4 linked regions of the Tamandua tetradactyla genome follow. The protein of the gene in region 1 interacts with the protein of each later gene in a biochemical or structural test. Links are inferred from orthologs where the notes say so. Each region holds a gene or a part of one and is shown in the gene's direction. Other genes may lie near its edges.

Region 1 (7,965 bases):
ATTCTGTACGTTTGATTGGGTGACCCTTTTTACTGATGAACTCCAGGTCACAACACAGTAACTGTCAGTTCAACTATACCAAGGTTTCTGAAGACAAAAAAGCTTCTCTGCCCACAAAATCATAAATGTAAATGAATTTTGAATGGAACCTGGCATCACCCTGAAGGAAGTCTAACTTCACACTGTTAGGGAGTTTATCAAGATGGCTTCAGAGTAGACTAACTTTACACAGCACATTTAAAAAAAGACACATTTATTCAGCGTCATGATCAGACTATTACATTTAGCAATCAACAGCATGGGTGCAAAAAAAAAAAATCTACATTAAAACCCTTTGTTGGAATGCTTTACACTTTCCACAGAACAGAAACTAAAATAACCTGTTATACAATTAGTCACAAATACAGTCCTTGTGTTTTTTTGCCCATACACATGAGTATTGTCTAAAACATGTCTTCTTTGTAGCAGCTAGGCCCTGCCACCACTGTGCTTGGCTGAGTTCACAAATCTGTTGTAACCTGTAGCTTCCCTGTCACTTCTCTGGCTCTCCTCTCCTGCTAAGCTTTGTTTCCTGTTGAACAATATGGAATAAAGTTGTTAATCTAAACATATTAAAACTCATGGCTACAATCCAATAGCAAGTTTTGTTTCCCACAAAATTTGCTGATCTGAATATTAACTTAATATCCATAATTTTACTGCAATTATAATGTTAACTATGTTGCACTGCTCAACTACATTAGGGTTACTGGATTCATTAGCGATTATAAAATCACATCAATACATAAAAGTGCTTACTTACCTGGAATTAAAATCTTCTGCCACTGCCGTAGCTACTGCTGCTGGAGGAACCACCATAGCCACCTGGGAATAAAATTTATTCCTTTTAAGTCTTAGAAGTTTTGTCAATAAAACCTTGGGTATGTGGGATGATAACATGTCCAATAAAGCTTATTCAAGAGTTTGACCACTTAAAAATAGCCCTTGCGTTATTAAGAAGATTTAGGCACTGTTAAAACAAAAATAGCCCTTGCCTGAGGCAGTAAGAGAGCCACAAACAGGTTCATTTTCCATTTCAAGTATACTTAAAATCTGAGCTTTTAATATATAAGGCAAGTTTTTAAGCCTATGCATACTACCTTGTGTTAAAGATAAGACAAAAGAAAACAAAACTTCAAGGCATCCCTTATCAATACTAGGCACAGCTATACTTAATTCTTCCAATACTACAGGTTTGTATCATACCTTGGTTTCGTGGTTTGGCAAAATATTGGCCTCCACCACCATAGGGGCCAGAACTTCTGCCTCCAAAATTTCCTCCCTTCATGGGTCCAAAATTTGAAGACTGATTGTTGTAACTGCCAAAATCATTGTAGTTTCCACCACCTCCAAAATTGCTTCCTAGGAAAGAAAACAAGTCCTTTGTCTGTTTAGTGTTCTGAAGTGAAACAAGGTTTATCATTTGCCCGACTACCAAGCTCTGGTCATCCTTGTTATTTCATCTTCTCTGGGTAAGGCATTCAGTTGACCAATCCAGTACTTTAGATAGTTCCAATTACCATAACCTAAAAGATTTCAGAGTTTTTATAGTGGCATTGAATCACTATAAGCAGCTTTCTTGGATTACTCAACCAGTACCTAAGTTCCCAAAGGAGAGTTAAAATACAACCCTGCTATGGAAGCTAATCTAACTCCAGCTGAAGACATCACTATCCACTTATCTATTTGTGAGTGAGGCGGCCCCAGCTTAAAGCTAGGAGGAGGTAGCACAGCAAGCCCATTTAAAAACATACCATGCAGCAGATCATCTAATGCCTTTTAAGAGCATCAAATCCCAATATAGCTATAAACTAAGAGGCTAGTCTAGCCCTCACACCAAATACTTTGATCACTGGATACCTACCACTACCACCGCCAAAGCCGCCTCCGTTGTTATAGCTGTCATAGCTGCCACTCCCGCCATAGCCACTGCCCTGGTTGCCATAACCCTGTCCACCACTTCCATAGCCTCTGCTTCCTCCAGAGTAACCAGGGCCGCCTCCTCCATAACCACCTACAAGAATACAATTCTTCTCTAAGTATTCAACTATTAAAATCTGTGTAAGCACAAAGGCTCACTCACAACATGCAGTTTATGGTGACAACTGAAGTTGTCCCGCACTAGTGTTAGCCTCTACTATCCTAATCTAAAACAGGTTACCCACATATTCCTTAAATTAAAACTCACCATCATTACCAAAGCCATTATAGCCATCCCCACTGCCACCATATCCACCACCACCTCGGCTGCCACCAAAACCACCTAGAAGAAAGCAGAATGTTAATACAATTAGGCTTGAGTATATGAACCACTTATTCTGAAAAAGAAACTATAATTTCTATGCCAAAGGGTTTTAAACTTTTGGTTAAGGAGAAACAAGCACTACATTTGGATAAATTAGTAACTTTGAAAATAAAGGCCAGTAGATACATACTACCACTTATCTGAGTTAATTAAATCACAAGCTTATTCTTAGTAAACTTCAACCATACATACCACGACCACTGAAATTTCCTCCACGACCAAAGTTGTCATTCCCACCAAAACCACCTCCACGACCACCACCGAAGTTTCCAGAACCACTTCGACCTTGTAAGGAAAGAAAACGTTAAGCCATACAAATTGAGATTACTCAGAATTACTTAATAAGGTTGAATTAAGTAACACAGACCTCTTTGGCTGGATGAAGCACTGGCCATCTCTTGCTTAGACAGGGCTTTCCTTACTTCACAGTTATGGCCATTCACAGTATGGTATTTCTGAACTAAAAACAGAAAAGATAAAAAGGTGACCCTAAGGAACACATGGATTTTGGAACTCTTAGTCTCAGTCATCTGATACTTACTGACAATCTTATCCACAGAGTCATGGTCGTCAAAGGTTACAAAAGCAAAGCCTCTCTTCTTGCCACTGCCTCGGTCGGTCATGATTTCAATCACTTCAATTTTCCCATACTGCTCAAAATAATCTCTTAGGTGATGTTCTTCAGTGTCTTCTTTAATGCCACCAACAAAGATCTTTTTCACAGTTAAGTGGGCACCTGGTCTTTGAGAATCCTAACCGGAAGAAAACCTTGTCAGTTACTTAAAAAAAAATCCCACAACTCTCACAAATCTGAAACATCTAATAACACATTTCCAAATGACTAAGGAAAGTAAAACACACTTACTTCTCTTGAGACAGCCCTCTTTGGTTCCACAACTCTTCCATCCACTTTATGTGGCCTTGCATTCATGGCTGCATCCACCTCCTCCACAGTGGCGTAGGTGACAAACCCAAAGCCTCGGGAGCGTTTGGTGTTTGGATCTCTCATTACCTGAGAAAGGTTTTAATTGACTTAAAGTTCCCAGAAACTGTCAAACGTTGATTACGTTTAACAGGCAAGTTTATAGTAGGGAGACCATAAAACTCTCGTTTCCCACCACCCTAGATTTTTAAAAAGAGACCTTAATTAAGTCATTAACAAAAAGCCACACCTTCCTTGACCAATCTATTTAAAAACACTAATCCTATTAACTTCATAGGCATTCAAATTAACAGTGTAGCCCTAGGACATCTACCAGGTTTTACTACCCTTTTTACCCCTTCCAAGTCTTACCACACAGTCCGTGAGCGTTCCCCATTGCTCAAAATGGCTCCTCAGACTTTCATCGGTTGTTTCAAAGCTTAACCCTCCGATGAAGAGCTTCCGCAGCTGTTCAGGCTCTTTAGGAGACTAGGAGTGAGTGGATAAGTATCAAGTGGAAATCTTACAGACAGGAGGGGCAAAATTAGCCGCTAGCATACATTGCACTTATTGTTCTTTCAAGCCGCGACAAACCATGTGCTTTTCCCTCTCAGGGACGGCTTGTTGCGGATGGAAGGCCATAAGCGCATGCGTCCCTATTCTCCTCCCGACGCACGCGCAACAAAAGCAGGGGGCGGGAGGGGTGCGTCGCCAGTAAGGGACGAAAAATTGTCAAGAAATTAGAACGCCGAGACAAGCTTAAACAAAACCAAAAAGATTGGACAGATCTAAGTATTTTACCAGGCGTTAGCATGAGCCCGTTGTAATAAGTAATGGTTGCCGGAAACCGGCCTCATGGCGACGACGAGGACAAAATGGCGACCCGAACTTTGGGAGGGGTAGGCCCTGGCAGCTACGGAAGGAATCGTTGGATGGGCTGCTGCAAGCACCGAAACGAAGCCGAATCCTAAAGAACTTAGGAAAGGTCGATAGAGACAGTGAAGTTGAAAAGAGAATTTACCTCTGACTTGGACATGACGGCAGTGAGAGGAATGACTTCAACGATGCTTCCCCAGCGGCGTCCAAGAGCAGAAAGGAGTAAGCTAACGAAACTATATGCCAACCTACCTTCTGCCTCTCCCTTTTATCCCGCCTCCTCACTTTCAGCATTGGTGGGTTCCGCCCCCTCTTAGCTATGATTGGATATCTGAAATTACTTCTTTCTACGATTGGCCTGTCTTGCCGCATTGCTATGCAACGTCATCCGTTTGGGCGTTCTACGCAGCTCCTCCCCTTAGAATCCATTGGTTCCTGAGTAATATTATTCTTAACCTGTCTGATTGGCTAGCCTACCAGTCATTCATATTTGAACGTACATAGACTGTTTAAAATGCTTTTTAATTATTAACACCCCAGTTATTACATTCGATTGACTTGGAAAATCACGCTTCATACTGTATTAAGACAGGTAGTTAACATGTACCTTTTTTTTTGCACCAACCCCCTTCAAAGCGCATGTGTAAGAAAATGGCGAGTTTACGCAGGCGCATTAAGAAGTTCCGGCTGCCGCTTGGAACACGCGAAATGGCGGACGGGAGAGGGCGTTGACCCTAGAGCGCCTGCGTAATGGCGGGAGTTTTTTTGCCCCTTTTTGCGCAGGCGCAATGGGCGGAGAAAGGGTCCGGTCCCAGGATTGGTCGCGCAGGCGCAGGAAAGGATCCGTTTTGGCGGGCGGTTGGCGTTGCGCAGAAGGCGGCGGCAGCTGTGGCCAGTAGTCGGACCTCACCACAGAGGGATAGAGAAGACGTTAGCGTGAGTGATCGCTCTACATCCCGGGTAAGTGGCAGACAATCTAGTCTAGCCATACGAGGTCTTGAACCGACTCCAGTTGGGCCCGTTATTGTGTGAAATGAATGGATCGCGGGGTGGGGGTTAGGGAAGGGGGAGCGGTGGGCCCAGCTAACCAATAGAAGATCAGGGGGCGGGATGTTTTAGCCCTGTAGGGTTTTAGAGTTGGGCAGCTGAAGAGTTTGACTGGCGGGTATATAGACCTATTGGCTCTCCCTTTACCTACTGACTGATCGGTCTTTGGGCCATCGGAATGTGGGAGACGGGTTTTCGCCTCCTGAGCAGCGTTTCACTGAGCCAATGAGTAGGAAGCGCGCGGTAGGTTGGGCTTCTGCAAGAGGCAGCCGTTCGACTCCAATGGGGAATGTGGGAGTCGGGCGGCTACATGGATGGACCAGATCTGGAACCAGTAGGCAGACAGCCTAAGGAAAGCGCTCGGGCTGGTGGTCCAATCAGCGTACCAAGAGAGGGAGGGCTGAGATTTGGGGGTGCAAGGAAGGGGGATCAATGCTAGTGATGGCGTGCGAGAGTGGGTATTTTATCCACAATGTCTTTTCTAATGAATGCTAGTTTAGATCTCCATCCCATTCACTTGCTTGGTAGGGAAACCATACGTTTGTTGGTATTTTTTTCACCCCATCGTCCACCACTTTTTAGGTTTTGGGGGGAGCCGTGGAGGCCTTTTGACTTTGGGAATTCGCTTCTTTAGGAAGACTGACAAAATGCTAAAACGAATAAGATACATCTCTGTATACAGTTATGGAAAGACATCGAGATACATCTACAAAATAATAATGCATATTTTACGGACAAATTAGATACGTTTATAAATCCATGGAAAAAGTTTTTGGAAAGCTAGACACCAAAGTATGTTATTTATCTCTTGGAACACGGTGGGATAGGGCGGGTTGGGTTGGTCCGTGGGCACTTAAGTGTTTATCCCTAGTGTTTAAATCTTCGCAGGGACAATAATTTGGAATTTAAAGTTAAATTTACAAAAATAAAGGTATGTCATGGATATGATGGTAATGGTAGCATAATATTGTGAATGTAATTGTTTGAATTGTGCACATGAAAGTGGTTAAAATGAGAAATTGTTTGTATATATGTTACCAAAATTAAATAAAATAAAAAATAAATGCAGTTGGTTTTTTTTTTTTTTGGTATTCCAGTCATAATCACCTACTTCTCACCACCCCTTTTCAACCTCTAAAGAGTGTTGTTTTCCCCTTAACTAAGGTGATTTTTCGGTATGAAAATAAGTAACTTTTTTTTGAGTACTTAGTAGGGCTAAGCATAATGCTAAGTGCTTTATAAGGATTATCCATGACCCTGTCCTTTATCTTAGTTTTTTTCTGAGGAGTGCCCCTAGAGATTTTTTACAACCCTAGAGATTTTTGAACACCTCTTTTTGCTGTTCTTTTTGAGAATTTTTGTATTTGTATAAGGAAGTTAAGGAGAATGATATTTAGACTGTTGGGGAAAGGAAGATCCATTAAACAGATAATTCATTGCCTTTTGATTATATTTCCTTCAAGGTGTTTATTTTATGGTCGCAAACCTAATTGTATGTATGATAATGATGCAGCTGCTTTCTTTTTAAGAACTGAAGTGAGGTTAAGGATATTTGTCTCCAGTTTGTTTAGGTTTGAAAGGAATACTATTTTGATCTCAAATTCAGCCTCAGCACAAGACATTTTGAGCTGGGTAATTCTTTGCTGTAGAGGGCTGTCTTGAGCATTGAAGGATGTTTAGCAGCATGCCTGGCCTCTACCCACTAAAATACAGTAGCTTCTCACCCTACCCCAAATTGCAACAATCACAATGTCTCTAGACATTGTCCGATGTCTTGAGGGGTGGAGATGGGGCTCAAAATCTTCCCCTGTGGAAAATCAGTGCTCTAAAATATGGCAGATGCTAGAATTGTCAAAACATTTTAACAATTTGAAATTAGGTAAAGGAGGGAAGAAGTGGCTGAAGTGTTTAGGGAGTGGCCTTTGGTGGTAAATGGAGCACTAAATCCTAGTAATTAGCTCTTGGATAATCTCTTCCGATAGTCTTGATCAGTGTTCCATTGGATAAAAGGAAAATTTCGTTCAGGTTTTTACGATTATTACATTTTAAACATATTGGTTAATTATATTTTGTGTTTGTTGGACTTCCTAAAATAATCATAAATTATAGATGGTTCTTAGGTTTTCACTTGATTTAAGCCTCTTTCCTGAGAATCTTTTTGATCAATGACTCCAAAACTTTTTAATACATTTTAGAAAAGAAATATGTTTACTTAGAAAGAAATACATTTTACACTGTCCATGTACACAAGTTCTACTAAATACATGGGCAAAGCACTCTGATATTTCTCATTTATAGTATACTATTACATTTAGTAAAAAATGAAGTTCCATTTTTCTACTGAACTGATTTGATTTCACAGCTTATCACCATGTATAGAACCACAGTTTTGGTGGGGGGAAAACCCCCACCAAAACTTTGATATGAAAAATAGATAACCAAATTGTGCCACGTCCGTAGATTCCTCTCTGAGTGGATTCTTCAAACACTTGTGCTTAGCTTTAAGGCATACAAAGCAATACCTAAAAGGTTTATTCACTACAAGGGAAAAATAACACATTTTCCCTGATCTGTCTGAAAGCTAATAAGTAGAAAGCTTCTATCTAGATAGTGAACAGGATAATGGTTGGGGAAAGAGAAAGAAGGAACATCTGAAGTGACTGGATTTTTATATGTCTGGGAGAGTTCTGGAAATTCTGAGAGTCCTTGACAATAGTGCTGAAGGGAGGGAAAGGTATCCAGGGAACAAAGTCTTCTGAGGAGGATTAGTGAGTGT
Region 2 (7,357 bases), on another chromosome or scaffold:
ATAAAAAAGTTTAAAATAAATAAATAAATAAAATATGAGACTAAAAGAGATATCAATTTAATGATTCAGCATTCATATTTATTTGTTAAGTTCTATCTTCTATGTATAATTCCACCATCACCTTTGATCTTTCCACCCCTCTCTTTGGGATTGTCTGGGCTATTGCAATTCTAAATTTTTTATATAGGAAGGGTTTTTCACTAATATGGGGTAGGGAGATGGAACTGTCTGATGTTCTGGAGCGGCTGGGCTAGGTTTCAGGATTTATCTGGACCAGGGACGCATCTGGAGGTTGTAGGTTTCTGGAAAGTTACTTTACTGCCTAGAACCCTTGTGGAATCTTATATATTGCCCTAGGTATTCTTTAGGATTGACTGGAATGGTCCTGGTTGGGGGTTGGCAGGTTATGACAGGTAGCAAGGTCTACCTGAAGCTTGCATAAGAGCAACCTCCAGAGTAGCCTCTCAACTCTATCTGAACTCTCTCTGCCACTGCCACTTTATTAGTTACACTTCTTCCCCCCCTTTTGGTCAGGATGGAATTGTTGATCCCACGGTGCCAGGTTTGGATTCATCCCTGGGAGTCATCTCCCACGTCACCAGGAAGACTTTCACCCCTGGATATCATGTCCCATGTAGTGGGGAGGGCAATGATTTCACTTGCAGAGTTGGGCTTAGAGAGAGTGAGGCCACATCCGAGCAACAACAGAGGTCCTCCAGAAGTAACTCTGAGGCATGCCTATGGGTAGTCTAAGCTTCTCTGCTACCTACATAAGCTTCACAAGAGTAAGCCTCATGATCAAGGGCATGGCCTATTGATTTGGGTGTCCCTAAAGTTTGACACAGTATCAGGAGATTCCCTGATGGTAAGGTTTAATAGTTCCATGGTATTTTTCCCCTCCCTCAGGGGACTTTGCCAATGCTTTTTGATTATCTCTTTAATATACTCTAGGATGTTTCCAGGCATTACAGTAATCTATACAGGATAAAAGACCGCTTTCTTATTCTGTGCTTCCTGTGTTTCAGTTGTTCAAATGAGCTATGCAGATAGGTTGAATTAGATTATGCACTACCAAAAATTTCAGTTCTAGACCAAATAAATCTTCCTTCCATTGGTTTCAAAGAGTATGTGTGGTTCTAAAATACAGACACTGTCTTCCTTACCCCTATGTTCTGAATTACTTTAGCCCCAACCTGTTTGATGTCATTCTTATCTCTAAATATAGGTTATATATATATGTATAAAACAGTCTCTCAAAACCCAATCCACTTTTATCCTGATGACCCACTCAAACAGTCAGATGTCCGGACATGGATCTGTAAATGGTTTCTTTCTCTGAAGCTTTGTAAGGTACCAAAAGGGTCTGTAGTGCCTGCAGAACAGAAAAACCTGATTGCTTAGCCTCTAGACTGAAAACAGTCCAGCAACCGCAGAAGCCTCGATTTCCTCTCGTTTGTTACCGTACAAAGGCAGTGGATTCCTTTGCCCAAAGCACTCAAATGACAATTCCTGAGATACTGGGGTTTCAGAAAGAAAAAATTTATTGCTAGGCACGAAGCAAGAGATCAGATGGCCCATTGGCCCAAAAACCTGTTACCCCGAACTGCACTCATTCTGATCATTTTACAATGTTAAAAGATGGGCAGGTTTTAGGATAATGAGCACAATGATCCCAGCTGATATAATAAGAGGTGATCTAATTATTAAGCATGCGCAGATCCATTACATGCTTAGTCACAGAACGTATGTAAGAAAATGGCAGTCTTAATATGATGATGGGTGTGGGGTTTTTTTGTTGTTTTTTTGTTTTTTATTTTGGCATGGGCAGGCTCTGGGAATCAAACCCGGGTTCTCTGGCATGGCAGCTGAGAATTCTGCCACTGAGCCACTGTTGCACTGCCCAATGGGTGTGATTTATTAGTATTATAATGAGGTACAGGTGACATAAGTTAAAGTCTAAGGTACTGTGCATGTCAGGTGGGCCTAGGGGGTTAGATCCAGTCTCAGTTTTCAGGAAAACTCTGGACTTGCGGTGGGTTAGTTCTGGGCTGACCCAGGACCCTTCATTAATAAACATTAGGTGATGTCTTTAATAATCGCAAGACTCTAAAGTTGAGAAATTGGATAAATGGGTACAAGTGAGGTGAGTCACAAGGTTTTTACAACCACAGAGGCACAACATAAAGGTTAAACAATCATTACCAGCAATCAAGGCAGCTGGATTACAGTTTAAAGATTTCAGGTATTTCCCTCTATCTACTCCAATATACCAAAAAGCAGTATCCATGTAATGATTTGATAACCATACTCATTCCTTAAATTCTCATTTCTTGGTTACACATTTACTGTGCATTACTCTTAACAACACTAGCTAAGGTAGGGAGAGCTATAGGGGCCTGCTCTCCCAGATTCCCCATCACCAACCTTTGGAGTGGGTGCCACTTCTCCTTCTACCAGGGGGAAGAAACCCAGGTGTATACCGCTTCAGGAAACCTGCCTGACTTCACCAGCTAACAACATGCAGGTGGGTTTTGTTTTTTTAAATTTTTATTGTGAAATAGCTTACAGGAAAGTTGCAAGGATAATTAAAAAACAATGCATAGAACTCTAATGAACCCCCCATTCAGGTTCCCAGATTTACTTTTAGCATCTTGCCACATTTGTTCTACCTTTTTTTGTTTTGTATGCTGCATGGTGGGGTCACATTTCATGCATATGAGTATCCCGTTATTGTAGCACCATTTGTTGAATTTTTTGTTTTGCTTGTTTGTTTTTTGGAAAGTGCATGGATCGGGAATTGAATGTGGGTCTCCCGCATTCCGTCTTTAAATATTTGAGAGTACTGTTGCATATATCACACTCCAAAACTTAACACTTTCAAGTATATTTCCCAAGAACTCTCACTTATGTCATCACCTTAAGTACAGTCATCACGTTCAAGAAATTTAACGCTGATGTTAAGTTTATAGCCCACGTCGGAATTTTTTTCAGTTGCCCCAGTAACGTCCTTTTGAGTATTTTTCTCTTCTGTTCATATTAGTTTCCAGTGCATACTCATGTTTTGCAATTAATTGTCATTGTCTCTTTCTCTTTTTAAATCCTGGAAACATATACAAGGTAAACTGTCCCATCTCAACCACTCCCAAGCGGACGTATTCAGGGGCATTAACCACATTCACAATTTGTGTTAAGGAGGCAGGTTTTAAACCTAGATCATCTGACTCCAGCATGAGATGTCACCTGCTGCTCTACACTGCAAACCAGCCACTTTGGCCTTGGAAAGAGCCCAGGAGCTGATGCAGGTGCGGTCCTCTAACTCATCAGGCAGCCTGTGTCTACTATGTTTCGATACAATTTTCTTAAGTATCTGTCGTGAGGCGAAGGGGTGCGCCACTACTACATGTTGACTCAAACGGGTTTAAACGAGAGAGTCAGGCGATATAGCGGCGTCCAAGAAATAGCTAGGAAGGGAAGAGGAGGCCCTGATTCACACCGAGGAAAGGCGTGAGGGGGTCAAAGCCAGCGGAGACCAGGAAAATAAGCCAGTCCCGGCCTGAGGGAAGCAGGGGAGGGTCGGTACAGGCTATGGGGCGTGACCTTGGGGGGCGCTTGTCCTGCTCGGGAGACCAAACGAGGCAGCTCTGGAGCTACTATTTTACAAACACAGACGGGCCTTACTTGCAGACCCTTCGCTCGGAGCAGGCTCTCTCCCTCCCTGATTTCCTAACTTTACTCAAAGGTCTTCGCCGCGAGGCCACCCCCATCCCAAGCCCTCGACCCTCCGTGAGTCTTCCGAACAGGCTATAGATTCTCCTTGATTTGGCTTATGTCTCTCCCCTGCTAGACCGTCAGCGCCACGACGGCTGGACCTCTGTCCGTCCCGGGCCGCAGGGCAGGGCCCGGTGCAGCCCATGAATACTGGCCGAGCTAATGAATGGCCCCAGAGGAGACGGCCACGGTCAGGGCCTGCCCAGCCTCGCCGCGCGGGCCAGGGATGAAGACGGTTCTCAGCCCCGGCCTGCCTGCGTCCCGCCCTCCCGGCCCACCTCGGGTCTCCACGTCTGAACCCCCAGACCCGACGGCCGCCGCGGACCACACGCCGCCGCCCCCATCCCAACCCATCCCATCCCCCAATCGCCCGCCGCCCCCGCCTCCGTGGCGGCCGCTCCGCGCATGCTCGGCGGCGTCGGGACGCGCGGCGTGCGGAGGAGGAAGACTGCTTGGGCGCAGGCGCAGAGCCAGCCCGGCCCGAGAGGGGCGGTGCGTCCCCTGCGCGTGCTACCCATGGGCCCCGCCCACCAACCGCGGCTCTCGCGCGGGCGCGCACGCGCACGGGGAGCGGAAGGGCGGGGGCGCGCGCACGAGGCTGGCGCGGGCGGCGGAAGCTCAAGCGACCGCCCGTGGTGGGAGGAGGGGAGTCGGCGCGTGAGCGCGCAGCGGGACCGCGGAAGGCGTGTGTGGAGGGGGGGCGGCCGAGGCGGACGGGCGCGCGCGCGAGGCTTCCCCTTGCTCGGTGACGGCGCCGGCGGCGGCCTCTTTGTTTGGTGAAGAGAGGCGAGACGCCCACTCTGCCCCCGGCCCCGCGCGGAGGGGCGGGGGCGGTGCCGGGAAGGCGACGCCGCCGGCGGCTCCCGGTAAGGAACGCGGGGTGCGGGGAGCGGCGCCGCGCGGGGCGGGGGAAGACGGTTTGAATGGAGCCGGGGCGCCGCGGGGGGAGGGGGCCGCTGGCGCCTGGAGCGGGGCCGGAGTACGGCGGCGCCCGAGGGCCAAGAAGCCCTGGCCCGCAGCCGCGCGCGCGGGCCCGGCCATAGCGGAGCGAGGCCGCGGTGGCTGCAGCAGCATCCGCGGGCGGGCGCGGGGGACTCCGGGCCGCGTGGAGACTGCGCGTCCACCCCCCCCGTGCGCGCGCCCGCCGGGGTCGCTGGACAAAGCTCGCCTCCCGCTACCGTCCCGGGGTCCAATCCCCCGTCTTCGCGGCTGCAACAATAGCCAGGCGTCGGGACTTTTCTGGCTACGTTCTAACCTGTCGGACCCCAGTGCGATCCGGGAAGAACCCAGGTGTGCCCGCTGCCGCCGGGACGCGAGCATCAGTAGCCCCCTGTGTAGTCCCAAAGCCGGCCTAAAAATGTATTTAAAAATCACGGCATTCTAGGTGTTCCAGGAAAGGTCAATGACTCCCCCAGTCCCGCGGAGGTAGCGACTTGAAAACGTTTGCCCCGAAGTGGGGGAGTTGGGGTGGCGGCGGCAAGTGCCTGGCAGCTCGGAGGGAAATGTTTGCTGTTGAAAGCATTGTTTTGTTTGGCACCCTTTTTTTCCCCCCTCCCTCCCAATTTATTTTCAACGTTTAGGCTCTTTTTAAATCGTGAACCTTTCCGGGAGTATTTTGGTGTCCGTCTTGATTTTTCTTTTTTTTTTTTTTTGTTTAGAGGGTGGATCCTGCGGGAAAGTAGAAAGTGGCAAGAGCCACTTCCCAAGCGTTTGAAACAAGTTTTCAATGTAAATTGTCAGACTGGATTCCACTGAGTGTGATTCCTGGCGCTGACAGTCGCCTGGCTGTGTGACCTTAGGCAAGTAGCTTGATCTCTCTGAGTCTCTGGTCTTCTCCCTAGTGAAATAGGGATAATATTACAAATGGAGTTGTGGAAGCCTGTAAAATGGTTCGTGGCGGGTGGAAAGCACTGTTTATTGTCATTTGTCTGGTTCAATCCCCTCTTTCATGGTTCAGCAAATAGTGGTTGAGTCCCTACTGGGTACCACATGGTTTGGGGTTGGATGCCCCTCTTTCATGGTGTAGCAAGTATTGGTTGAGTCCCTGCTGGGTGCCAGATGGTTTGGGGTTGGGTGCTTTCAAGACCAGTCTTGTAGAGGAAGCCGACCTTTAAATAGATGTGGGTGGTATGGGAACAAATCACTTTGGCTTATCGTTTAATCATTTAACAGCCTATCTAGAATCTGGGGGAGAGGGGAGAACCAGGGTTTAGGGAGGCTGCATGGAAGAGATGACATTCACACATACTCAGGGAAGATGCTCAGGGCTGGGTTTTGACTGGCAGGGATGCAGCTTTAGGGGCACCTTCCCTGACTGCCTGGTCTGGGTCGTTGCACCTGTCTGCTGCCCATGTTGCTTCCCCGTGTAGCAGTCACCCCGATTTGTAATTACACATCCATCCCACTCCAAGCACTGTTGGAAGGAGCCACGCCTTCCTGGTTCCCAGTGGCAGCCCAGGCTTGGCATGGTGCTGGGACCGGGATGTAAGCAGTGAGTGCTAGTTGCTGGTTTCAGTGTTTTAAGTTTCCAGGCCGGTGTTTGCCAAACTGTGGTCCCTCTGGAATTGAGGGTGTGTGGGCATCTTGGGCTGGTGATTAGTGTGGGGTAGTGGTGAGGAGGGCTCAATCTGGACTCAGACTTCCTGGGTTCACATTCACCCTACAAATTCCCAGCTTGACCTCGAGCAAGGCGCTTAACAGTTGATCCCCCAAATTGTGACCCTGTAAACGGTTGTTGGGGAGGGGGAGTGAATGAGATAGCAGGGGGAGTGCCTGGCACGTAGTAAGCACTCAGTTTGTTAGTCTTTATGTTTACTTCATCTTGTGTGTGTGTGTGTGGTCAGTCATCTGTTTTAGAAACTAAAAACATAGAGTCACTCTACACCCCAGAAGCCCCAGGTTTGCTGTGCTGATTATATAATGTGTGTGTATTTAATTCCTTTAAAATCAGCGCACATGCACTTATAAAGGAATAAATATCCCTCCCTCCGCCTCAGTCATCATTTCGTGTCCATCCTTTCTGGGGATGTTGCTGTTGGAGGTTGTGGGGCAGGGGAGTAGCATCAGCAGAGTCTGCTGTAGGGCTGTGCCGTGGTTCCCAAACTCTTCCTGTTGGTGAAAAGATTGATTTAGGTGAGCACCCTCACAACAGGAATAATTCTTTACAAATTGTTTGCATACACCTGCCCCTCCTTGGGGAGTAACCCTGGCCTACCCCTTAACACCTAGCCGTTTATTATACATGGAGAGAGGGGGAGGGATGAGGTATGTCGAGTGAGTGTCCACTTGAGAAAACATTCTACCAGCGAAGAAGCAGAGGTCCAAGGATATTTCATCACTGGGGGGCTCTGAAGTCAACCACCAGGTTTGAATCCTGGCTTCGCCACTTCTCCTCTCTGTGCCTCTGTGCAGTGGGGAGGGCAGGACGGCAGGTAGTGCAGCCTCACCCATGCTGGCCGTGCTTGGCCTCTGCCCTCAGTGCGACCCTGGCACAGAGGTCACCTCAACCCTAGACAGATGACAAGCAAGCGTGGCGACTCCTGGAGCTTGCGGGAAGGGACCCTACCACAGCTTCCCGGTTGGTGGAGTG
Region 3 (7,984 bases), on another chromosome or scaffold:
GATCAGTGCATTATCCCTCCCTGGCAGAAAGTTCACAGAGTCGGGGAATGCTGTCTTCTCCATTCTAAGCTCAAGCACAGGCGGGCACACTTCTTCAGGAAAGAACTCGGGCCATGTGCTGCCCGAAAATACAACATTTCTCAGGAGGACGGGCCGATGCTAAGTGCTCAGGGTGAGAGTTTGGCTTAAAAGCTGTGCGCAGTGGTGACAGATGGGCTTATTTTTCTGGCTTTCTCTTTTTTGGGGAACCCTTCACGGATGCCTATGTGTCAAGTCAATGACAATCATTGTCCTTTCTGATTATTGTCATGCCAGGTTTGGTTTCTGGGTCCTTCTAACATATCCCCACGATTCTTTGGGCACTTCCTTACTTCATGACATAAGAAGGTATTCCAGGCTCACCTGGGCTTGCTACTGCTCTGGCCCTGGAATCAGCCGTTTCTCCCAGGGCTCCTGGTGCTCTCAGCAAGGAGAGAAACCTGAGTCTGGACCCTGAGGACCTTCCCTCCTCTTCCCTCTCTGTAACCTCAGACGGTGGTCTCTGTCCTCACCTCTCCCCGCCCCGCCCCGGAACGCAGCAGGTGGGAGAGGTGCAGGTACTTCTGAATCCAGCCTGGGGCGCTCCAGGCCATCCTTCACCCCTCTCAGGGTCAGCTGTTCTGCCTTTGAAATGGGAAGTTCGGTCGGTCGGCTGAATACTGGACTTGGAAAATATCCCTGTCCTAATCCCTAGAACCTAAAGTGTTACCTGAGGAGGATCTTGTGACAGGACTCACCCTGGATTACCAGGTGGCTCTGATGCCATCATGTGTATCCCTAAGGGAGGACCTCAGGGCACAGGGAGCTCCAAGGAGGCTGGCCTTGGAGACTGCAGCGACGGGGCCAAAAGCCAAGGGGTGCCAGCCACCATTGGCACTAAAAGAGGCAGGAACCGATTCTCCTCAAGAGCCTCCCACATGCCCTGCAGTTCAGTCCTGATGAAACCTTGATTTCTACATAATGAACCTTATTTAGGACTTCTGGCCTGTGGAGCTATAAGAGAATACATTTCTGTTGCTTTAAGCTGCGTGGCCTGTGCAATTCATTACAGCAGCTTTGTTAAACTAATACCTGCTCTTCCTAACCATGTTCCACCAGGAGGCTTTGAAATGGGAATTCTCATGCTGTGTCTGCTAAGACCTTCTGTTGTCTACTCATCACACTTAGAGAAAAGCCCAGCTTGGAACCGCCAAGGGCAGGCAGTGTCCATCCAGCAGCTGTGTTTGCGACAGCACATTCAGGGCGGCCCCAAACGCAGGAAGCCCTGGCTGTACTGGAGGAGCAAGTCTGTGCATCAAGCAGGCAGAGTGCATCTGTGGTGCTCCAGGGGGGCTCCAGGGCTGCGCAGGGTGTGCCCGCCCTCCTCTGTGTCGATAACCCCACTGAGAGCTCATCGAGTCCTGCTGGCTTCCAGGCCGGGAGGCGATGGGAGTGGGAGTGACGGGTGCTGGGCTTCCTGCTGGGGTGATGAGGATGCTGTGGGAGCACACGGCAGTGACAGCTGCATGACACTGTGAATGTACCAGATGCCACTGGATGGTACGCTGCAAATGGTTAAAAAGGTAAGTTTCATGTTATGTGAATTTTACCTCAGTAAAAAAAGTAAAAATAAAAGTGTTGGAACCTACAAACAAAACGTGGCACGCTCATACAATGGGATATTATCTGTCCATAAAAGGGGATGAAGTGCTGCGCTATAGAAGGACAGCAGCATATGACCCCACTTATGTGAAAAATCTTGAGTCCACACGTTCACACAGAGAGAAATGGATGGGGTACCAGGGGCTGAGGGGAGGAGGAGCCGGGAGCTCAGTCCTAGGAAGCACCAAGCTTGTGTTTGGGGTGCTGGGAAAGTTTTGGGGATGGATGGCTGCAGGACACTATGGGTGTCAGTAATGCCACCGAGTTGTCTGCTTAAAAATGGTTAAAAGGTCAAACTTTATGGGATGTGTGTCTGTGTGTGTGCATACACACACCCACTGAAAAGTAAATTGAAAAAACAAAGTGATAGAGCCTGGCCGCATTGCAGGCTCCACACCTGCGGGCCGGGCGTTGGGCGCCCACAGGCCCAGGCCCCCAGGTACATAGCACCCACCGAGACTGCGCAGAGCTCAGGGACCGCATTAGGAGTTGGCCCAACAGAGTGGCGAGTGGTCTGCGTGGAGGGGGCAGCAGGTCACAGGCTCCGAAGTGGGCACAGCAGGCTAGGCCTTGGGGCTGGAGCAAGGCGAAGTTAGAGGTCACAGGGCTGGAGCCCAGGACTCTGGCTGGAGACTCACCCTGCATGTGCATGTGCAGCAGAGCACAGAACACAAGCTCCGCTTTCCCACTGTAGTCCACACACCTCAGGGACGTGAAGTACATTTGCAATGCTGTGCAGCTGTGACAACTACTGAGATCCAGGACAGGGTGTGACCTCCCGTCCCTGCAGTTCCCCACCAGGTAATAAACCCACGGACGTGCCTACGTGCAGCCTGAGGCTCAGGGTACCAGCGGAGGCCCCGGCTGCTGGCTGGTGGGAAGGGGTTGGCGTGAGGACACGTGGACAGCAGGGCGCTGGGAAGCATGAAGGAAGGAGAAAAAGGAACACAAACCCAAAGGGTCACTGCAAGAGCAGCTAGCCCATTGAAGCAGGAAGTAGAGTAGTGGTGCCATTGGTTGGGGAGAATGGGAGTGAGTGCCAGTGCGTAGGAGTTTGTTTTCGGGGTACTGGACAAGTTCTGGAATTAGTGATGGTTGCACAACTCTGAATACACTAAAAACCACTGAATTGTACCCTTTACATGGGCAAAATTATATGAATTATAGCTCAATAAGGCTTTTATCAAAACAAAACAACAGCTCTGAACAGCTCTGAGCCTTAATCCTGGACAGAAGTCTGAGCTGGAGTGGGGAGTCAGGGAGGAACGGCCAGTGGGTGAGAGAGGCCAGTGGGTGGGAGAACGCGGAGCCATCTCAGCACCTCAATTCACCCCCTCCAGTCTGCAAAGGGGTGTAGTGTCTGGAGGGCAGGAGGCAGCGAAGGGGAGGTCAGGGGTGTGGGGGATGCGAGAGTAGGAGGCCAGATGGACCTCTGCTCATCTCGCCTGTCTGGAAGCTCTGGCCGTCTGGTAGGTCCTCGCCTCCCAGGGCTCCTCAGGATCTAGTGAGGGAGTGGGTAGGGGCTGGAATGGAGCACAGGTGACCCTAGGGTGGCAGGGGCCTAGCCACCACCTGCCCAGGTCCTCCAGCTGCCCGGCCTGCCTCAGGGCCTTTGCACTTGGGGCTCCTGCCCTCAGGGTGTGGGGGTGTCCTGCCCTTAGGGGGCCCTCCTCTGTGCTCTTGACCATCACCTACTTATTTGGAGCAGCCTGGTTCTTCTGCCTCCGCGACCAGGCGTTTGCCGCAGGGCCCAACACGGGGCTGCCCCAGCTCCTGGGATTCGGGGGCCCAGCACGCGGCGGAGAACATATGTTACTTTTGGCAGGGGACCCACAGCTTGCGCCCAGCGCGGCCGGCCACCAATCTTCGTCCCCAACTACTAGAGAAGGGTGGGCCCGCGGTCAGGAACCTTAACGGGGAAGGAGCTGCGGGTGTGGGGTGGCCCCCGGCTCAGCCGGGCGAGGTCAGCGGGGAAACCCCACCGCGGGGGGCGTCAGGGCGCCGTTGCCGCGACCACCCGGCGGGGCGGGGCTCGGAGTTTAGGGGCCGCGCGCCGGGGCTCGAACAAAGGCAGGGGCGGGAACCAAGCCGTGCGACCCTCCCCCAGCCCCGCCGGGGAGGCCACGCCCAGTCCAGGCGCCCCGGGGAGCGGACCAGCCCCCGCCGCGGCCCCCATCCTCCCGGAAGCCTCCTCCCCGTCTGCCGCGGTGTCCGCGACTCGAGGCCGCGCCACCACCGGGGACACTGAGGCAGGCCGGGCCCTGTGCGCGCCGCGGTCACTGCAGAGCGGCCGAGACCCCCCCCGCCCCGTGGCGGTCCCTCCCGCAAGCTTCCTCCACGCCGAGTGACCCCTGCCCCTCCTCAAACAGGACCCCTCCGCCCCCTCCTCGGACAGGACCCCCGGCCCACTGTTGAGGCTCGAGACGCCCACCTGGCAGATGATGGCAAAGCATCAAAGTCAGGACGGAGGCTGGCTGGGTGACGGGGAGGGGACGCTTGGGGGGGGTCGGGTGGGATTTCACGGTTTGACTGCTTTGTTACCCCTAGGGTTTGGGGCAATTTCCTGTATTTCTCACATTTAACAATTAAAAAGGTTTAAACGACCGAGGTCCCCGCCTCCACCCACCCTTTCCGCAGGGATGGGGACCCTTCACCTCTGGCCCCGCCCCTCGCCTCGACCCCTCCCCTCGGCCCCGCCCCACGGAGCCATTGGTGACGCCACGGCTGGAGAGGTTTCGCACGTGCGCAGTACAGACGCCGGCCTCCGCGCGGCCTACAGGTGGGGCTGGGGCCTGGGGGAGCGCCCGCCCGAGCGGCGGGACGGACGTCCCGTGGCCCCGCCCCCACCGCGCGAGCCGCGCCGCGGGGCGGTGGTGGGAGGGACCAGCGCTTGCGCGTGCGTACTGACAGGTTCGCGGTCGGCTCAAGTCCCGCCCCCGGACCGCGCGACGACCAGCGCGCATGCGCAACGGCGTCGGCGCCAGTTATTTCTGTCCCGCCCCCCGGCCGCGGCTCTTTCTGCGAGCGGGCGCGCGGGCGAGCGGTTGTTCGCGTGGCGCAGGGCGGGAGCTCGACGGCGGCGGCGGCGGCGGCGGCGGCGTCGTCTGGGAGGCGGCTCGGCGGGCGGCAGCAGGCGACGGCCGGCCAGACCTCGGCGGCGCCCCGCGCGCGGCTGGCGGCGGCCCGGGCGGCGCTCGGCCTCGCGGCGGCTGCGGCGGCCCAGGCGGCGCGGCCGTTGGCGGCGATCGCGTCTGCGCCTGCGCGGCGGGCCCTGCGCCCCTCCTCCCCCCTGGGCGCCCCCGGCGGCGTGTGAATGGCGGCCTCGGCGGCGGCGGCCTCGGCCTCGGCCTCAGCGGCCACGGCGGCCTCGGCCAGCCCGGGCCCGGGCGAGGGTTCTGCGGGCGGCGAGAAGCGCGCGTCGGCCTCCGCCTCCTCGGCGGCGGCCTCGGCGTCGGCGTCGTCGCCAGCGGCGGGCGGCGGGGAGGCGCTGGAGCTGCTGGAGCACTGCGGTGTGTGCCGGGAGCGCCTGCGGCCCGAGCGAGAGCCGCGCCTGCTTCCCTGCCTGCACTCAGCCTGCAACGCCTGCCTCGGGCCCGCCGCGCCCGCCGCGGCCAACAGCTCCGGGGACAGCGGCGCGGCGGGGGACGGCGCGGGTGAGTGCGGGGGCGGGGCGGGGGACGGCCCGGGCCGAAGCGCCCCGCGGCCGCCGGCGCTTACCCTCTCCTGCTCTTCTCTGGCCTCGCAGTGGTGGACTGCCCCGTGTGCAAGCAGCAGTGTTTCTCCAAAGACATTGTGGAGAACTACTTCATGCGCGATAATGGCAGCAAGGCCGCCACCGACTCCCAGGACGCAAACCAGGTGCGTGCTGCCCCCCTGCCTTGCGGAGGGGCCTGGGGTGGCTTGCGGCCCGAATCAGCAGTGAGGGTGCCCACCGCTTCCCGGCGGGCCACCTGGCCTGGTAAAGGGATGCCCCTTCTCAGGTGGGGGTTGTTGGGATGTAGATGTGGAGCCATCTGCGGCCCCGCCCCCATGACCCCACCTTTGCACGACAGTGCTGCACCAGCTGTGAGGACAACGCGCCGGCCACCAGCTACTGTGTGGAGTGCTCTGAGCCGCTGTGCGAGACATGCGTGGAGGCGCACCAGCGGGTGAAGTACACCAAGGACCACACCGTGCGCTCCACCGGTACATGGGGTGCCTCAGGATGAACTGCCAGCAGTCCCTAATGGCAAACCTCCTTGAAAGGAGGAGGGTTGGGGTTCTGGGGGTTCGGACAGGGGCCTCGGTGCACAGGGAGCAGATAGCATTGGAGAGCCTTGCGAGAGAATGTTGTGAAGGGTCCAGGCAGGGGAGGCAGGTACAGGTGGGGAAAGCCAGTGTCCTTTGCAAAGGATGTGAGGGGCTGCCTGGACTAGGGGTTCTCTGGTACGCTGGCTTGAGGAAACACTGGGGAAATTGAGGCCTAGGGACATGGGTCTCTTGACCCAGGGTTTGTCAGTGACAGGAAGCCCCCAAAATGTCCTAGCTGTGGGATGGCAGTTTTCTGCCTACAGTCACGGGTGCTGTTTCCAGTTTCTGGGTGGCTCTAGGGTGGAAAGGGGCTCAGGAGCTCCTGAGCCTGACTTGGTGTCTGGCCCACGAGTTGGCCTGTCAGAGCTACCGTGCAGCCCGGAGTGGGCCTGAGTAGCCGAGAGGGAGGAACAGGAGTTCACATTGGGTCTTAGGTTTAGGGCAGATGTAGATGCCTTGGAGAAGGCAGCAGCTGGGACACTGAGGCCTGCTGATTTCTGTTCAAGTGACACCTGCCTTGGGCTAGGTGAGCTGTCACAGAATCGGATGTTGCAGATGGACAGAGGAGGGTCGATGTGCCGGGGCAGCTTTCTAGTAGGGTAGGTGATTTATTTTGGTCCCAGAGTGTGCTGGTCTAACATGTTCTCTCCTCAGATGAGTGGAGCCAAGAAAGGTCCCCTGTAGACTTTCAGGTTGTAAGTGGTGTGTGGCTTTGTTTTGCTCAGCTGTAAAGGGGAGGTCAGCAGACAGCTCTTGTGCATAGCAGAACATAGGCAGGGTGTTTTTGGGTCTGTTCCGTATAGGTGTTGATGCTGTAGTGGGTGAACACACTCTGCTGGGCAGATGGTGCCACGGATGGAGGAGAAAGCTCAGAGGGGGGTGTTGTCAGGAGGCCTGAGGGTAGGAGCTGTTTCGAAGTACACAGCTGGGCAGAAAGCAGTGGAGAGCACCCTTACTGTCAGTGTTCTCAGAAGTGGGAAGAGCCAGGACATCTGTCTGGCCAGGCTCGGGCATAGGGTGCTGGGGTTGCAGGCTGGTACTCCCTGCACTCCCAGCAGCATTCTGTGGGGTGCTTGAGGTGCGGGTGGCCAGAGGTGAGGGCCCATCTCATGGTGCCCGCCCTGCAGGGCCAGCCAAGTCGCGAGATGGCGAGCGCACTGTCTATTGCAACGTGCACAAGCACGAGCCACTCGTGCTGTTCTGTGAGAGCTGTGACACCCTCACCTGCCGGGACTGCCAGCTCAATGCCCACAAGGACCACCAGTGAGTCCCGTGGCTGGCCTGGGTAGGGTGGTGTGGGCTGCCTATCCCGTGTTGTGTGTCTAGCACCATGTTCCCCCTTGCCCTACAGGTATCAGTTTCTGGAGGATGCAGTGAGGAACCAGCGCAAACTCTTGGCCTCACTGGTAAAGCGCCTTGGGGACAAGCATGCAACACTGCAGAAGAGCACCAAGGAGGTTCGCAGCTCGTAAGTGGGGATGCTGGGGCTGTGGGGGGAATCTGGCCTTGTGCCCACTGGGGCTGACCCGCCCTGACCTGCCTACTGCAGGATCCGCCAGGTGTCTGACGTGCAGAAGCGCGTGCAGGTGGATGTCAAGATGGCCATCCTGCAGATCATGAAGGAGCTGAACAAGCGGGGCCGTGTGCTGGTTAACGATGCCCAGGTCTTGTCTCTCTCTCTGGGCTGGAAGGGTCCTGGGCCATCTCTCCCCTGCTGACCCCACCCCTTGCCCACTGCCCCCACCCCACAGAAGGTGACTGAGGGTCAGCAGGAGCGCCTGGAGCGGCAGCACTGGACCATGACCAAGATCCAGAAACACCAGGAACACATTCTGCGCTTCGCCTCGTGGGCCCTGGAGAGTGACAATAACACTGCCCTGTTGCTCTCTAAGAAGCTGGTGCGGGGTCGGGTGGGCCGGGAGTCTCGGTGGGCTCAGGGTGGGCAGATACCACGCTGCTGCTCACACTGCTCCCTGCCCACAGATCTACTTCCAGCTGCACCGCGCCCTCAAGA
Region 4 (7,027 bases), on another chromosome or scaffold:
GATGACCCATGTTCACCATGTGCCCTTCCAGCTGAGAGAGAAGCCCTGACTGTGTTCACCATGTGCCTTCTCACTAGAGAGAGAGAGAGAAACCCTGAACTTCATCGGCTTTCTTGAACCAAGGTATCTTTCCCTGGTTGGATGCCTTTGATTGGACATTTCTATAGACTTGTAATTAGGACATTTTCTTGGCCTTAGAACTGTAAACTAGCAACTTATTAAATTCCCCTTTTTACAAGCCATTCTATTTCTGGTATATTGCATTCTGGCAGCTAGCAAACCAGAACAATATTTTTTTCAATTAAAATAGTGTAGATGAAAAGACTGAAGACAGTTTTATGTTTAAACATGCACTACAGGAGGGTTCAAAGGATTTAAATACTTAGAAAAAAACCAACAAATGTCTTAAAATGTACTGACACATATGATACTGAAAACATCCTTTAATTTATTTGCAATGGATTAAAAATGATTTAATGAACTTAAAATAAAATTGTGCTGAGTTATTACGTGCTGTACTTCTAACATTTATTAAGTGATCGACAAGCACTGTGCTAAATCCATTAGATGTGTAACTGTATTTAATTATCACACTTACCTGGTAGAGTTAAGTACTTGATTATTCTCATTTTACAGATGAGGAAATCAGAACTTATAGAACTTGGTAGAAACAGGGCTCCAAGAGGAACCAGAATTCACATGGCCTCAAATGCTGCACTCTGAGCCACTCAGATAAGGCAGCAGAATCTTCTGATATAATTAAATTATATATTTCTCCCAGAGGCTTTTTAAAAATTTTTTTTATTTAAGTTTTTATTAATAAAACCAATGAACATACAACACAAACATTCTTAACATATGAACATTCCATATTTGGTCCCAGAGGCTTTTTGATGATAGAACTTTAACATTGTTCTTATAGATCTTTCTTATTATGGGACATCAAACTACTGCAGCCAGGTTTGTCTTCTCACTGCGTCCTTCTATGTAACAGGTCAAGTTTACAATGGTCTCAATTCATTCTCTCCCCTACTAAATCAATCAATCACTCAATCAAGAAATCAACCAATTAATTCCACAAATAGTTAACTATCATGTGCCAAGTGCTGTGAACACAAGGAACACAGATCTGTTTTCATTACAATCTAGTAAATTCTGCTCCTCTTTTGGACCTCCTCAATAGTGTGGCATGAAGGGATGTAAATCAAGGTGACATTGCTTACGCAGTTGACCTTCCTGCTAAGGCTGGTGCCTGCTCTGGGTCCTATGATGGAAAATCATGCATTTTGGAGTCCAAAAGACCTGGATTTGAAGCATGGCTTTACTGAATTATGCCTTGAGCCAACTTTCCGAGTCTCAGGGTTCTCATCCTGTTTAAGCCTTATTTACTCTTAATTAATTCTCTTAAAATAACAACCAAATTAATTTCCTTTGAAATTAATTAATTTTGGTATATGAAGAATTTTCAAAAAACAAAGTGCTCTTTGCCAGAGCAGACAAATATGAACCTCGTGGTACAGCCATTTGCCTTGACAGACATGGCAAGGGGAGGCTGCTTTGGCACTCAGCCCATCTCTGAGACCTCTCCATCCCTGCCTCTCTGCCAGTCTCTTCTGTGGGGCCATCAGTTCTGGACCCTAATCTCAGCCACTTGGAGTGGCTTTTGGGTATTTCCTTCTATTACAATTAAGTGGTTTAAAACCTCAGACAAAAAACTTTAAAGAAAAATAAATCATTAATATAACCACCACCTTTTGCTTTGCCAGGAATTCTCAAATTTGAACCTGCTGATAACAGGATATTCCAGAGGGCTTATTAAAGGTGAGAAGGCTGGCCCCACCCTAGAGTTTCAGATTTAGTAGGCATTAGGTGGGTCTGAGAATTCGCATTTCTAGTAAGCTCCCAGATGATGCTGATGGGTGGCCCTCTGAGAGCTCTGTACTTTGTTAATCAGTTTGAGTCTATAGTTTGGTGTAGACACTGGAACCCGACTCCCTCGGGTTATTTACCCTTACTGTGCCTCCTCAGCATTTTCACCTATCAAGTATTTCTCTTAGGTGACTGTTGTTGAGAGTTGAATAAGTTAAAATGCATGAAGTACTTAGAGCACATGGGTTCTTGTAAGTAAGAACTTAATAAATGGTAGAGTTAATACACCAGATCCTGCTTCCTCATTTCTTTCTGTTTCATCAACTTGTTGACATATACATGCCCCACCCCTTAAGTTCCTCCATTTAGGTGTGGATAGCAGAGTACAGGGATCAATTTATTCAAATAGTTGCCCCTTTGCTGCCTGATATAAATATTAAGGGAAAACTGTGTGTGTGTGTGTAGGGGGTAGGTGAGTAAGTGGTTCAAATATATATATGTGGGTGTCAAATAAAAATGAAAAAATTGTTATTAAGATGAATAATTCATCATGTAAATCATGAACTCCATTTCTGGGTAAACAAACTATTCAGATCAAACAGCATCAGAAATATAGTTTTATCACATGACTCTCGGGGGTAATACTACTTTATGAATGAAGGCTTTCTACTGTTTCTGGCCTATAAAAGTTTGTTCCTCTAAAAGGTTACCAAGTGATTCCAACTGATTTCTTCATGCCGCTTGAATTTTTACCTAGACTTGTTTCCTGAAAGAGATGGTTCAATCCTGCAGCCAGCAACAAATGCCCAGGGTGACCGGCAACGCTCACGGATCATTACTTACCCCTGGGGTCTTTTCCAGAGTCTTAGCTCCGCTCAGGGAGCTACTGAGTTAAAATTCTTAAGCAAACAGGAAGATGAACAGAATTCAGTATGCCTCAACCTCCCCACTTCCTTCCCTCTGTAGTTCCCGCCCTACTCCATATACCCACTGGTCTTCCACCGTCCTTTCCCAACTTGTCCTCAGGAAACGCTCTCATGAACTGAGAAACCTTAATGTATTAGCTTTTGTTTGTTTGTTTTTGAAATAATAACCTTGGGTGTTTTGTAGTTAGAACTGGGTGAAAAAGGGGACTCTATATAATTTTAAAATTATATTTAAAATTATATTTTAAAAATTTTAAAGCGTAAGTGCTTCTAAAATAGAAATAAGGAGTTAGGAAATACTTTGATTAAAACCACACTGCAAAATAGGGAACTTCAATGGACTGCTTTCAACTCTCGACCTCAAAGGAAGGAAATCAACTAACCAATTATGATAACTTGGTGGAAAAAAGGATCCATAACAGATTTGGAGTTAACAATATGATTCAGCATTTTCCGGGTCAGCCAACACCAGACTTGAGGATGGAGGGCATGGTGAATTAGGGGTAGAATTTCCTGTTCCATGCCACATAGGTTTCGAGTAGTTTTCTCATTTCTTGGTAGGTCCGTCCCTTAAAAACAATTCCCCGCTCCACAAAACCGGTGGTGGAGGGCCGCCCACCTGAGGGAACTCACGGACATCCTTCGCTCTCCGCCCACCCGCCTGCGGCCTGGGTGAGGTTTTCTTCAACCGAGACGCATCGATCCCCGGGACAAAGAATCCGGGTGGCCTGCGGGGCCGCTGCTGCTCCGGAGGATCTCAACCCGAACCCGCCAAGGAGAGTACTAGTCGTGCTTCAGCAAGAAGCGTCTTCTGGCTTGGATGGTGGGTCTTTAATGATCACTGTGTGAATTTTCTTTATAGCTTTTTATTACCTCTTTCGCCGAGCCACCTCGAACCCCCCAGTCCTCCGCTGCTCATCGCCAGAGGCCACGGCGAGGGCGGGGAGCAAAAGGGGGGGAGCCGCGCTCGGTCTGCTGCAGAGCCGCGATAAGCTCGGGACCGGCGGTGGCCTAACGCAGCAGGGCTCCGCGGGGGACTCTGCGGCCTCTGCGCGGGCGGGGCGGGACGGACACGCCACAGCGCGCGGCCAATCGCCTGCGCTGGGGGCGATTCAAAAGCCTGTGGGGCCTATGGGAGCCCTGGGCGGCCCGCCAGAGGGGCGGGGCGGGGCGGGGCGGCGCGGCGCGCGCCCGGGCCGCGGGGCCGCGGGGCCGCGGGGCGCCAGAGCGCCAGAGCGCGGCCGGGTGGAGTCGCGCGCGCGGAACCGCCGCTGGGTTGCTCGGCGATTCTCCCGAAGGCGATCGTGCTCTCGGAGGGGCCCCGCGCAGGTGAGCGCCCCCGCCCCGCTCCCCGTGGTGTGGGCCCCCACCCCGCTCTCCGCAGCGCAGCCTTGGAGGGGGGCGGGGGCAGGCCCGCGGGGCGGTCTCCCTGGTCCTGGCGCTGATGGGTGGGCTGGAGACCCCCGCTCTCGGCCTGGCCGCGACCTCGCCCACTTCCCCCTTCCGGTCTGGTCGGTCCGGGCGGAGGCTGCGGAGGCCCGACCCGCCCCGCCCGCTTGGTGACCTGTTGCGGAAATGCAGCTGCCAGTTTTAAATCGCGGACGTTTCCCTCCATTTTGGACGAGCCGCGTTGATGTAAGATGATGTCGCGGGGGGGTTGGTCTGTGGGTCCCCGGCCCTTTGTCCCCTCCCGGCCGAGCCGGTCCCCGCAGCTTTTCGGCGCCCCGTTTTGACAGATAAGGGGGAGGTTTGGAGGGTCCTCAATGTCGTGGAGGGAAACGAGGAGAGCCAGCTTGCGGGACAAAAAGTGGGATGCAGAAGTTGAGACTTAAAATTCCTCCTGGCTGTCGCCGTCCTTAGTGGTCTCTGCGAACGGTAGGGCCCCGCACTTGGATGTGTAGATTTTTCTTGCCTGGTATTTCCGTACACTCATATAAAACGGATATATAGGCAGCTTTCCGTGTTCCTGCTTTGGCTCCATCCTGCGTTTTTCACTTAAAAGTCTTTATTTATTATGTATTCTTCATAATGAACGCAAGGGGCACTTACTATACATTTGATATCAGAAGGTCTTGTTCCTAGCGCTTCACCAAAAAAGATCGGCCTAGCCAGGAGTGGCACAGTAGAAACGCTGGGCAGCGCGTGGCGACCACGGGCGCAGCCTCGGTGCTGACCCGCTGCGCGAGGCTTTGTCCGGGATCCCGGCCGGGCGACCCAGACAGAGGTCTGGCCAGAGGCCTCCAAGACTTACAGCCTAGTGCGTAAACCTGTAACTACAAAATTGTAGTAACTGCTGTGAAGGAGAGGATCGGGGCGCAGAGAAGAGAGCAGGTTTCCTGATTTAGACCGGGTGCTGGAAAACAAACAAGTCTAGTTTAAGTCTTGTTGTTGAGCGCTGTCTGGGAAAGAGTTGGGTAGGAGGCAAATGAGGCGCTGCACGTTGCCTTCAGGTGTTTGTAAGGGAAAGTCAAGGCATCTTGCCTTAGAAATGCAGGGAGGGTGGCATTTCTTTGGCCTTAATGTAGGAGGGGTCCAGGGCAAGGCCTGGGGTTCCTGTTTGCATTCTGCCTAGTGTAGACCTCTCTTCGGCCCAGGTGTTAAAGGGAGGTAGGCAAAGGTTCATTTGCACTTCCCTTCCACTACCATATTCAGACTAATATAGAAAAGTGGAAGGCAGATGACCAGAGACCCTTGTAACTCTGTGATCAGCAGAGAATAGCAACAGAAACTTTTGTTATGTTGTTAAGTAGTAACAGATAGAAGGCACAATGTGCAAGCGTTCCAGAAATGTATGAGGATTTCTGTGCCAGTTGCCCCTGAAGTTAGCAAGCATGTGGCTTAATAGAGAAAAGCCTGAGGGTCCCAATATTTCCATTGCTGGTGGGGAATGAGAAGATTGTATTCAGTAAACAGAATTTTTCTTTACAAACACCTTTGGTTAAAATATTCCAAGGGAAGGTTCTTACATATCTTGACTCCCTTGGATGAGATCATAATGACATGTGAAAATGCTGTAGGGCTTTTTGGGTCCTGTCCTGACTAATTTACTTCTGTGGGAGATGATATGATGTGATTGCACTGTATTATCACACTTGACAGTTGTGTGTGGATCTTGTGCAAAGTGGAGATGCGTATAAGTTGGTGACTTCATCTTTTGGAACATTAGTTTATAAGATGATGGTTTCCTAAGGACAGTGCTGGTTGTATTTTTACTTGTTTTTGCTTTTTTAATTTAATTTTTCAACCACCACATGAAAGATATAGCCCCAACTCTTAAATCTTTTTTTAAAATAAAGCATAGAGAGCTAACATATATCCACCAAATGTCTTAATTTGTTTAGCCCAAAATATTTTAACTGGGTAAACAGAAAAATCTTTTTGACATTGACCTGTGTCAGTATTGCATAGATATTGTGTATGTGGTATGTGATATGTGCAACAGAAAAATGCCAATAAATAAAATTTTAAAAAGATACAGAATCTGTTCAAGGGTGTTTCTAAAATGTGGGTAGCCTTAAAGTTCGGAAGGGGCCGCTATAAAAGTTTGTAAAGAGTTGTGTGAAACTTGAAAGGCATCTTCATGAAGAAAGATGTGATACTTTTCCAGATTAGCTTTTCTAAACCCTGGTTGGCCAATGTAGGAGAACTAGTACTAATAACAGTGGTTTGATTTGGAGGGCTCAGGGAAGAGAAGGGAGAAGAAGAGAAGAGAGGAGGGAACATTTACTTCTTCTTTCTCAGTATGTGAAGGCTCTGAGCTAAATGTTGAAATAGGCCAAACTTGCTGTTGTCATCTTCCCTTTTTGTGTCCCTCCCCCAAAGCTTGATGTGCCCACTGTCCCCTGCTTCACAAGTGCCTCTCAGGTGACTCCTCAGCCAGGTCTGTTTAGTCCCCAGAGCTCTGCCTCTTCCTCCCCACCTCCCCCATTTATTACCCCAGTGATGCTTTCTCCTTGGTGTTGGAAGAATGCAGTATCTTTTACCTAATGTGTAAATTGACTGACATCCTCTAATTGCCAGATAAGTAGGTGTGTTTTCTTTCAAGTACAAATCTACCATCTGTCTAAACAAGTTGTGCTTGTTAAGTTTGTTCTCAGGTGATTAACAGTGCAGAAAAGACTGTCTTGGAAATGGGAGGTGGGAAATGTAACTTTCTCCTTTCTTAACCACACAGAGTCTTCAAAAGTTTTTCTTAAATGTTATTATTCTATAGTCACCTCTTCACAGCAGTG

What was found.
Region 2: the proteins of CBX5 (region 1) and SMARCA4 form a complex in vitro, tested with the Homo sapiens proteins (2 studies listed by BioGRID). The link is inferred for Tamandua tetradactyla from reciprocal best matches to the Homo sapiens genes CBX5 and SMARCA4.
Region 3: the proteins of CBX5 (region 1) and TRIM28 form a complex in vitro, tested with the Homo sapiens proteins (6 studies listed by BioGRID, with this or other methods). The link is inferred for Tamandua tetradactyla from reciprocal best matches to the Homo sapiens genes CBX5 and TRIM28.
Region 4: the proteins of CBX5 (region 1) and LBR form a complex in vitro, tested with the Homo sapiens proteins (2 studies listed by BioGRID, with this or other methods). The link is inferred for Tamandua tetradactyla from reciprocal best matches to the Homo sapiens genes CBX5 and LBR.

What each region holds. Positions count from the first base shown.
Region 1 is NC_135333.1:115,670,115-115,678,079, reverse strand, and holds the start of CBX5 (chromobox protein homolog 5), read left to right. Parts: upstream 1-4,955; 5' UTR 4,956-5,102; intron 5,103-7,965. Other genes in the region: HNRNPA1 (heterogeneous nuclear ribonucleoprotein A1), read right to left, coding at 809-864, 1,246-1,401, 1,904-2,053, 2,228-2,302, 2,537-2,629, 2,712-2,804, 2,886-3,096, 3,210-3,356 and 2 more. UniProt on the Homo sapiens protein: Component of heterochromatin that recognizes and binds histone H3 tails methylated at 'Lys-9' (H3K9me), leading to epigenetic repression. In contrast, it is excluded from chromatin when 'Tyr-41' of histone H3 is phosphorylated (H3Y41ph).
Region 2 is NC_135337.1:90,868,778-90,876,134, reverse strand, and holds the start of SMARCA4 (SWI/SNF-related matrix-associated actin-dependent regulator of chromatin subfamily A member 4), read left to right. Parts: upstream 1-4,343; 5' UTR 4,344-4,451; intron 4,452-4,517; exon of another isoform or gene 4,518-4,634; intron 4,635-4,933; exon of another isoform or gene 4,934-5,058; intron 5,059-7,357. UniProt on the Homo sapiens protein: ATPase involved in transcriptional activation and repression of select genes by chromatin remodeling (alteration of DNA-nucleosome topology).
Region 3 is NC_135342.1:134,524-142,507, reverse strand, and holds the start of TRIM28 (transcription intermediary factor 1-beta), read left to right. Parts: upstream 1-4,978; 5' UTR 4,979-4,993; coding exon 4,994-5,333; intron 5,334-5,425; coding exon 5,426-5,538; intron 5,539-5,732; coding exon 5,733-5,865; intron 5,866-7,097; coding exon 7,098-7,233; intron 7,234-7,321; coding exon 7,322-7,438; intron 7,439-7,519; coding exon 7,520-7,634; intron 7,635-7,721; coding exon 7,722-7,868; intron 7,869-7,953; coding exon 7,954-7,984. UniProt on the Homo sapiens protein: Nuclear corepressor for KRAB domain-containing zinc finger proteins (KRAB-ZFPs).
Region 4 is NC_135328.1:135,680,800-135,687,826, forward strand, and holds the start of LBR (delta(14)-sterol reductase LBR), read left to right. Parts: upstream 1-4,014; 5' UTR 4,015-4,124; intron 4,125-4,194; exon of another isoform or gene 4,195-4,430; intron 4,431-7,027. UniProt on the Homo sapiens protein: Catalyzes the reduction of the C14-unsaturated bond of lanosterol, as part of the metabolic pathway leading to cholesterol biosynthesis.